Linked DNA regions of Drosophila melanogaster. The gene in region 1 interacts genetically with each later gene. Each region holds a gene or a part of one and is shown on either strand. Other genes may lie near its edges.

Region 1 (3,956 bases):
GTTTGTGATCGTTTTTGAATAAAAAGCGTTATTGGATTGAAATTTACCTGTAACTTAAGCAGTTTTTTGCCCGTTGCATTTTTTAGGGTCTTATGGAACTGGGATACTTTGTTACTGTGCTGCGTGGTCAGTGTCGGCACAGAGATATCTTTCAATTCACCATAATAATTTTCACTACTGCGGGGCTGTAAATAAGAGCGCAAAGTTTTTGGTTTCTTTTCTCCATTGCATTTCGCACACATTTGAAATCACACACGCCAATGGTGAGTTGAAACATATCACTTTTGTGTGGAAAAGGTGCTTTACAGATTCGTTCTTTAAAACAATCACCATGCCAAGGAACAATATGAAAAATGAAAAATGAAATAAGCCAATATAAACCATAAATAAAACCAGAAATATAAATAAGGTGTAAGCATTATGTTAATTATATGTATAATTATGTCAAAAACATTAGTTATAAAAACAAGGACAATAAAAAATATCAGATAGCACACTATAAAAGGGATGCTATAGTACTAAAACTCTAGCTAGATACATAATTTAAAAGATTATAGGGATATTTACAACTGAGGATTACTCTAAACGTTCTACATTACATTTGAGAAGGGATAGAGGACAAACGTATTAAATAATATATAACATTTATGACATATATTTGATAAAATCAATTTTTAAAATTTTATAAACTAAAGCATGGGACTGCATTCAAAATAATTGCACTAAAAATATTAGAAAATTGCTTGTGGGTTAGATCTTGATGAACTCAAAATCTTTAGAGACTTGCTCGTAACGATCGATGTCTTGAATGATACTCACTTCGCCCTCCAACTCGCCGCAGATGCTGTCGCTGATTTTGCCCGAATCGATGGGAGTCTCCTGCAGACGCATCCACATGCGGTGGGCGGCCAAGCGCTTGGCTATCTTCTTGCTTTTGCCCTTGCCCATCTCGCGGTAGTTGAGTATCGAGCAGGCGATCGTAAAGAGCCGCTCGTGGGGAAGACCCACTTCCGTTTCCGTTTCGTACGACGGCGGTGGCCATCGCCGTTGCATGCACATTTCCTGCAACCAGCCAATCGGATTACCAACGGTCTTGTCGCTGGCACTGCAAGGACATAATACAATAAATTGGATATCTTAGAATCATATCTTAGACATCAATAGAATAAAAACTCACTCTCCTCCGCCTGTGGCATTGGCATTGCCGTCTCCTCCGCTTCCGGCGACCGTGAGCCCAGTCACCGACGGACCAGCGGAGCTGCTAGGCGATTCCGGCAGCTGCGCGCCGATCAGCTTGTCGATGAGCGCACGGGCCGCCGCATGCTTGGCCTCCTTCTTCGATCGTCCTGCCCCCATGGCCGTGAAGGGCGTATCCTTGTCTTTAAAGGACACGCGAAACCGGAAGGTCGGCTCATGTATGGCGCCCTCGATCTGGACAAGTTCATAGCCGGGAGTAATTCCTCGTCGGCTTAGCAGCTCTTGCAGAATGCTGACGGGCGTCTTCATGGCCAGTCCATTGGCGTCCGTTTCGCTGACGAACTTTAAGGCCTCGTCGCTGGGCAATATTACGCCCATAAGGCCGACTCCACCTTGTAAGCCCGATCCGCCCGCCAAGGCAGGATCACCAACATCTGACAGCTGCAGCTGACCTGGCTGAGACAGCTGCGCAACCTGGGCGGATATCTTCTCCTTCTTGAGCTTCACATGGCGCTGCCCCAGCGGAGCACCCTTCACCGGACTACCACTGACGGCATTTCCATTGCCCAGGCCGACAAGGTTATTATAGTGCCGCCGTGGAGCAAATCCCGTCTGGACAGGATTGGGGGACGCCTGCTGCGGCTGGATGTGGAGGTTCTGTAGCTGCTGCGGCAAGCTGGAGCCGTGGAAATTCTCCTGGTCCATGGTGTTCTTGTTTTGCACGGTTTTCGGGAGGATTCGGTGTGTATCTGTTTAAAATTTCGGGGTAATTGTTGTTTGAAAAATCGATACATCACCGACGAATAGCGGGCGAAAAGTCCAGTTGACACTCTCGCCGAAATTCGGGGAGTACTCACGTTTGAATCGCGGTTTTAACTGTTTTTTATTTAATAATAATTTATTAATGGTTAGTTAATAATTCATTCTTAAATAAAAAATACAGCAAAATCCAGACGCACACACGAATTGTATGTATTTTACTGATATTTGTGGTTGCCAGACTTTTTTTGGATTGCCTACTTATTACACCCCCTACTCGTAGAGTAAATATGTTGAAATAAATGTATGTAACAGGTACAGAACATTTTTTTGTACAAATATATAATAAAATAGACCATGAATACTAATTTAACTCAAAAAAAAAAAAGAACAAAAATAATTTTTAATTTCTCCTGGCATGATCGTAAGTTTGTTTAAAAGTTTTATCGATAAGATATCAGAATGTAATCGAAATAGTTGAAGTGAGCGCCATATTTGAAATTGTTGTATAAGTATTTATTGCAGTGTTTGCTCCATTACTGTTGTACATATTATTAATAGATATATATTTAAACAACATTCAATCAAATCAAATGTGAATGCATGCGCGGAATTCTGTGGCTCGAAATGCACGAAATGTGGGACTCCCGTAGCAGTAAACGATAGTTTAAATGGTATTCTAGATCTGGCTGTGATCTTCCGTCCTAATCGTCGCTTAGAAAATCGTCATCGAGGTTCACATCTGTCGTATCAATGTTATCATCCAACGTAATTCCATCTATTTCCAAGTCCAGGTCGTCGTCGTCATCCGCAGCGGATGTAGGCTCGGCCACCTGGCTGCTAGAAACAACAGCTTGAGCGGGAACGTAAGCTGGCTTCACCTTCTCCTCCAAATGCTGGCCGGCGGCACCCTGCTCGGCGGCAAATAGTTCTTGCAGAGGATGACGTTCGCTATTCAGTGGTAGATTCGCAGCGAGGCGTGCCGGCGCCTTACGAGCTCGCTCCTCCTGCAAATGCTGCTCCACCCGCAGCGCATCGCCCAGGCCAGGGAAGAGATTTGTATACTGTGCCGGATCGGCCAGCGACTGTCCCGCCTTTTCGTTGACCTTTCCAAGCTTCTCCCGCCAAAGCTCTACGATCCTTGACATCTGGCTGGGCAGGTAGGTGCGGGCAAAGAACGCTGCCTCTGGCAACCGATTTGTCTCAATGAGAATCTCCAAGCAGCGTTCCACGTCTGAACGAAGGAACGCCGAGAGGAAAGCTAGATTGTGATGTCCCTGGGCCGAGCCAGCCGCACCCACCACCTCGAGCAGCTGGGCATCGCCGGAAGCTGTTGAGAGCAGCAATAGACCGCTTAAGTCGTTTGCCTTCTGCATGCACTCTTTAACCAGAGACATGTTGTTCTTGCTAGACGCCACATCTGCCAGCTGTGACCACTTCTGGGAGTTCTCCGACTCACGGGCCAGCTTTAAGGCGATTTCCAAATCTCCGATCTGTAAGGCCAAGTCAAACTTATGGTCGGCATCGGTAGAGACTTGCAGGGCCTGCGACTTAAAGCCCTGTTTCTCCAGAAAATGTGCCACCCTAGTGCGGTGCTCCTTGGGAATGGTCGGTAGCACAACGTCTGCGCGCTCAAAGTCTCTTCGCATAACCGCCGTCTGGTACTCCAGCACGGACAGCTGCAGACAGAAACTGATCACGTTCAACTCCTTATCGCCGAGGTAAATACGATTGTCCTTGGGCACGTAGCCCAGCAGATACATTGTGCGGTCTAAGTGGGATACTGTCACAATCTCGCCGCCCACGTAGTAGTTGATGCGGTTCACCGAGTTGGTATAGATGAAGCAGTCTCCCACCCAAAGTCCTGTTTTGACGCACTCCGAAACCTCGCCTGCAACACAAATGCATAATACAATACAATTATACTTTCTTGCTATTATGTGGTAAATGGAAATATTTTTTTAAATTTAAATTTAAAATAGTTTGCTCTCATGGTGAAA
Region 2 (3,600 bases), on another chromosome or scaffold:
AATGGAGAGAGTGGGGAAGGGGGTGGTAGTATCGGTTCCCTTTTGCGTTAAGTTTACGTTACGTTTTTCTCCGTTATGTGTAGCTATGCGCCACACACACACACACACACACACACATCAAGCTCTTCTTTACTCCTGCTTCCTGCTTTTGCTACCCGTTCACGCAGGCGCGTTCATAGTGATGACCTTTCTAGCCATTTATCCGCTAGCTGCGCAAAAAAATAGCTGCCCTAACAAGGACAAGCTGGGGCACAAAGTCCTTGAACAACTAATTCAATTGGGGCAAGGCAATTGCCTAAATAAATACGTTTAAATCAGCGGAAGTGAGCGGTAGTTTAAAATCTACTTTAGTTTTGTGCCCCCTCCAAACACTCGCAACCAAACACCCACATGCCGAATCAGCTGCATACACACAGACACAAGCGCCTACAAGCGAACACACGTGGTAAACGGAATTTAGTACCGCTGCTTTGCCCCTTTTTTTCACTGTTCTGTTTTATTTTGCTTTGCTTTATCGGACCTGGATGATTTTGTTGGTCCCCCTATCGACTTTGTCAATTCTGCGCCGCAGCTGATATTTTCTTGTCCATTTCCACGTACTTTTTGATTTATTTCACTTTTAAATGTGTGCCGCTCTCTCTCTTGCTACTCGCAAACGGTTATTTTCGAGTGCAGCGCTGGCTGGGCTGCGAAAGAGATAGAAGAGGAGCGATAAGCGATTGAGAGAGAGAGAGAGCGAAAAATCGGTTATGCGAAGAAAAGTTCTCAATTTCGTTCGTATTGGTGTGCGCAAGCTCACTCAACGCGGCAAAAAATGAAATACGAATACGAAAAACGGCACCCACACATACAGAATACAAAAAAAAACACACACACACACCATGTGAAATTAAAACTGAATTCCCTTTTTCGATTTCGGAATAAACACTATTCTTGACCGACCGGACGAACTGTCGTCGATTTAAAAGTTTTAGTTGGGGGGCGCGGGTGGTGGCTAAGACAACTCTCGACGGGGTCGCGGGGTGACAATCGACAAGGGGGGGCACTGCCGTTGTCCTTGAACGCAAAATTTCCACTTGACTACCGCCCAGGTGGTCGTGGTCAAAAGGCACTCAACACACACGCCTGCACATGCATACACACACACTCTCACAAACCGAACAGCAGACAGGAGGCGAAAAAGGTCCTTGAAATGCCTGAACACTTCACTGTCTGTCCGGCGTTGTCAGCTTTTACTGTCCAATTTAAACTGCTAACTGCTTTTTCGCAACTGTCACCACCTTATATTTAAATGTAGTTTTCGTTTTCACACGTTTTTTTGTTGGTTCTTTTTGTTTTTTGCTGCTCTCTTTTGCTTGTTACGTTACGATTTTATATTTGCCCGTCCCACACAAACGCCTACACGCAGGAACACAAGAGAACACTACACACCACAGGCAGTTATATCTACAGTTACCGTTATTCACTGATTCAGCGAATTTAGCACGTTCTGGGACATTAAAAACAACCAGAAGACCGCCAATTTGATTGGAGTCGATAATTATTGGATTAAACAAATAATTACTTTACTGCTCCCGTCGAACTTTTGTATGCAGTGCAGCTAGGGATGATAGATATATATTTCAGCACAGCCACGTATCGATAGTTTTTGAAAAGCGATGCCCTGATATCGATAGTTATATTGAATAAACGCGTATCGGTCGCCAAATATTTATTTTAAGTTTTCATTCCGCAAAGCTTACATCTTTAATAAGTATAATATAATTATATATATATATATTTAAATAATAACACAAAATACGCTTTATTATTACATGTTACATTACATTTAAATGTCAGTTTGACTCATTTCCGCATGCATATTTTGCATATCAGTTAAATAGGGTAAAATGATGGGATTAATCCCATTCCTTGTCACGCATTCCAACTCGTTTATAATATTATCCAATCTGTCCATCAATATCCGATGCTCTCTAAGCATAGAATTGAATTGATCTTCAGAATTCTGCTGCGATGCGGGCACGTGTTTAGTATCCAATTCCGATGCGTGCACGTTTTCAGTATCATTTTCCGATGCGTGCAGTTTTCGATTGAATTCTGATGTATATTCAACTACCAAAGTCTTTATTTTGACAAAGAAGTTGTTTTTAAAGTATGTATGTTCCATTTGCGTCTTTTCGTTGCGAGTTTTAATAGTATTTTCCCCTTTGGAAAATGCATCCCACAAGCTTTGCAATTTGGATAGTCGCCCTTCAAAATATCCAGGTTTAGATTTCCGTTGAGCCGGAGCCTTTTTATAATTGCGAATAATGCTTTGAATCTTCTCGCCCAAATTCATTTGCTCGGCCAACAGCGCACTAATGCTCGACGATCCGGCCATCTTAATTGAAAGTCTCTTAAAATGGTAACAGGAATATCAACAATTCAATGATACTCTAAGCTTGGCTCTTTTTGTACTGCCTTGAATTGTCGCTCTACAAAAGGACTCCAGTTATTTCTGAAAGCGCAGGTAATTTTAGGAAGAACGTGTGTCAGGTAGGTGGTATTCCCAGATTAATATGCAGATGGCCAATCAGTTTTTGTTTTATGGCCTTACCGTGTACCGCTACAGGTAAGCTCTTAAATTTATTTGTGCACCTTTTTATTTCGGGGAATTTTCTATCGAACACGAGTAAATTCTCGAGCGTTTAAGATCAACGCGCCGAGCACACTTCTGGGTATTTAAGGAGTTTTAAGCATATGCAAGCCGGTCACACGACGACTATCGACACTTATCGTCAGCGTCTATCGATTAAACTTGCACGTTTCGCCCCAAACATATACATTTCATTTAAAAAAGCACACTTAAACAGGAACTTTCGTGTGGATAGCAATCAAATCATGTCCACCGTGAGCGACCCCAACAGTAGCAATCCGCCGGAGAGTGCGGGGAACATTCGGCCGGAGCCCATTTTCCGGGAAATCAATGCGGAGCAGACCGACGAGATAGTGGAGGTCGAATCCGCCTGCATGAACTGCTTCGAAACGGGAGTCACTCGGCTGCTGCCCACCAAGATACCCTTTTTTCGCGAGGTGGTGCTCATGTCCTTCAAGTGCGACCACTGCGGCCACATCAACAACGAGATGCAGTCGGCATCGGAGATCCAAAAGTCCGGCATTCGCATCGAACTGCGAGTGCAATCCGTGGCTGATCTCAATCGGCGCGTGGTGCGCTCGGATAACTCCAGCATCAGCATACCGGAGATCGAGCTAGAGATTCCGGTGCAGTCGCAGAAGGGCGAGGTGACCACCGTCGAAGGCATCATCGAGCGGACGATAGCCGGCTTGTCGCAGGATCAGGAGAAGCGGCGCATCGATCATCCGGAGACAGCTGCTTCAATTGAAAAGTACATCGAGCGATTGCACCGCCTAAAGGAGGTGACAACACCCTTTCAAGTGCTTCTCGAGGACATATCCGGCAATAGTTTCATCGAGAATCCCCTGGCACCTGCCGCCGATCCGCAGCTAAAGACTTCGTACTTCACACGCAGCCAGCAGCAGAACGAGCAATTGGGTGAGGCCTCTTTGTAAAATTAGAAACTTAACCAGTGGAGATAGCCA

What was found.
Region 2: of loqs (region 1) and mei-P26, changing one suppresses a phenotype caused by changing the other (phenotypic suppression), as found in Drosophila melanogaster (one study listed by BioGRID).

What each region holds. Positions count from the first base shown.
Region 1 is NT_033779.5:13,380,886-13,384,841, reverse strand, and holds the start of loqs (loquacious), read right to left. Parts: upstream 2,191-3,956; 5' UTR 2,055-2,190; intron 1,947-2,054; 5' UTR 1,903-1,946; coding exon 1,178-1,902; intron 1,106-1,177; coding exon 820-1,105; coding exon of another isoform or gene 751-819; exon of another isoform or gene 677-750; intron 316-676; coding exon of another isoform or gene 186-315; coding exon 48-185; intron 21-47; exon of another isoform or gene 1-20. Other genes in the region: beta'COP (coat protein (coatomer) beta'), read right to left, coding at 2,661-3,847.
Region 2 is NC_004354.4:9,161,255-9,164,854, reverse strand, and holds the start of mei-P26 (meiotic P26), read right to left. Parts: upstream 1,601-3,600; 5' UTR 1,457-1,600; intron 693-1,456; exon of another isoform or gene 521-692; intron 1-520. Other genes in the region: CG44532 (uncharacterized protein), read right to left, coding at 1,829-2,380; Zpr1, read left to right, coding at 2,881-3,553.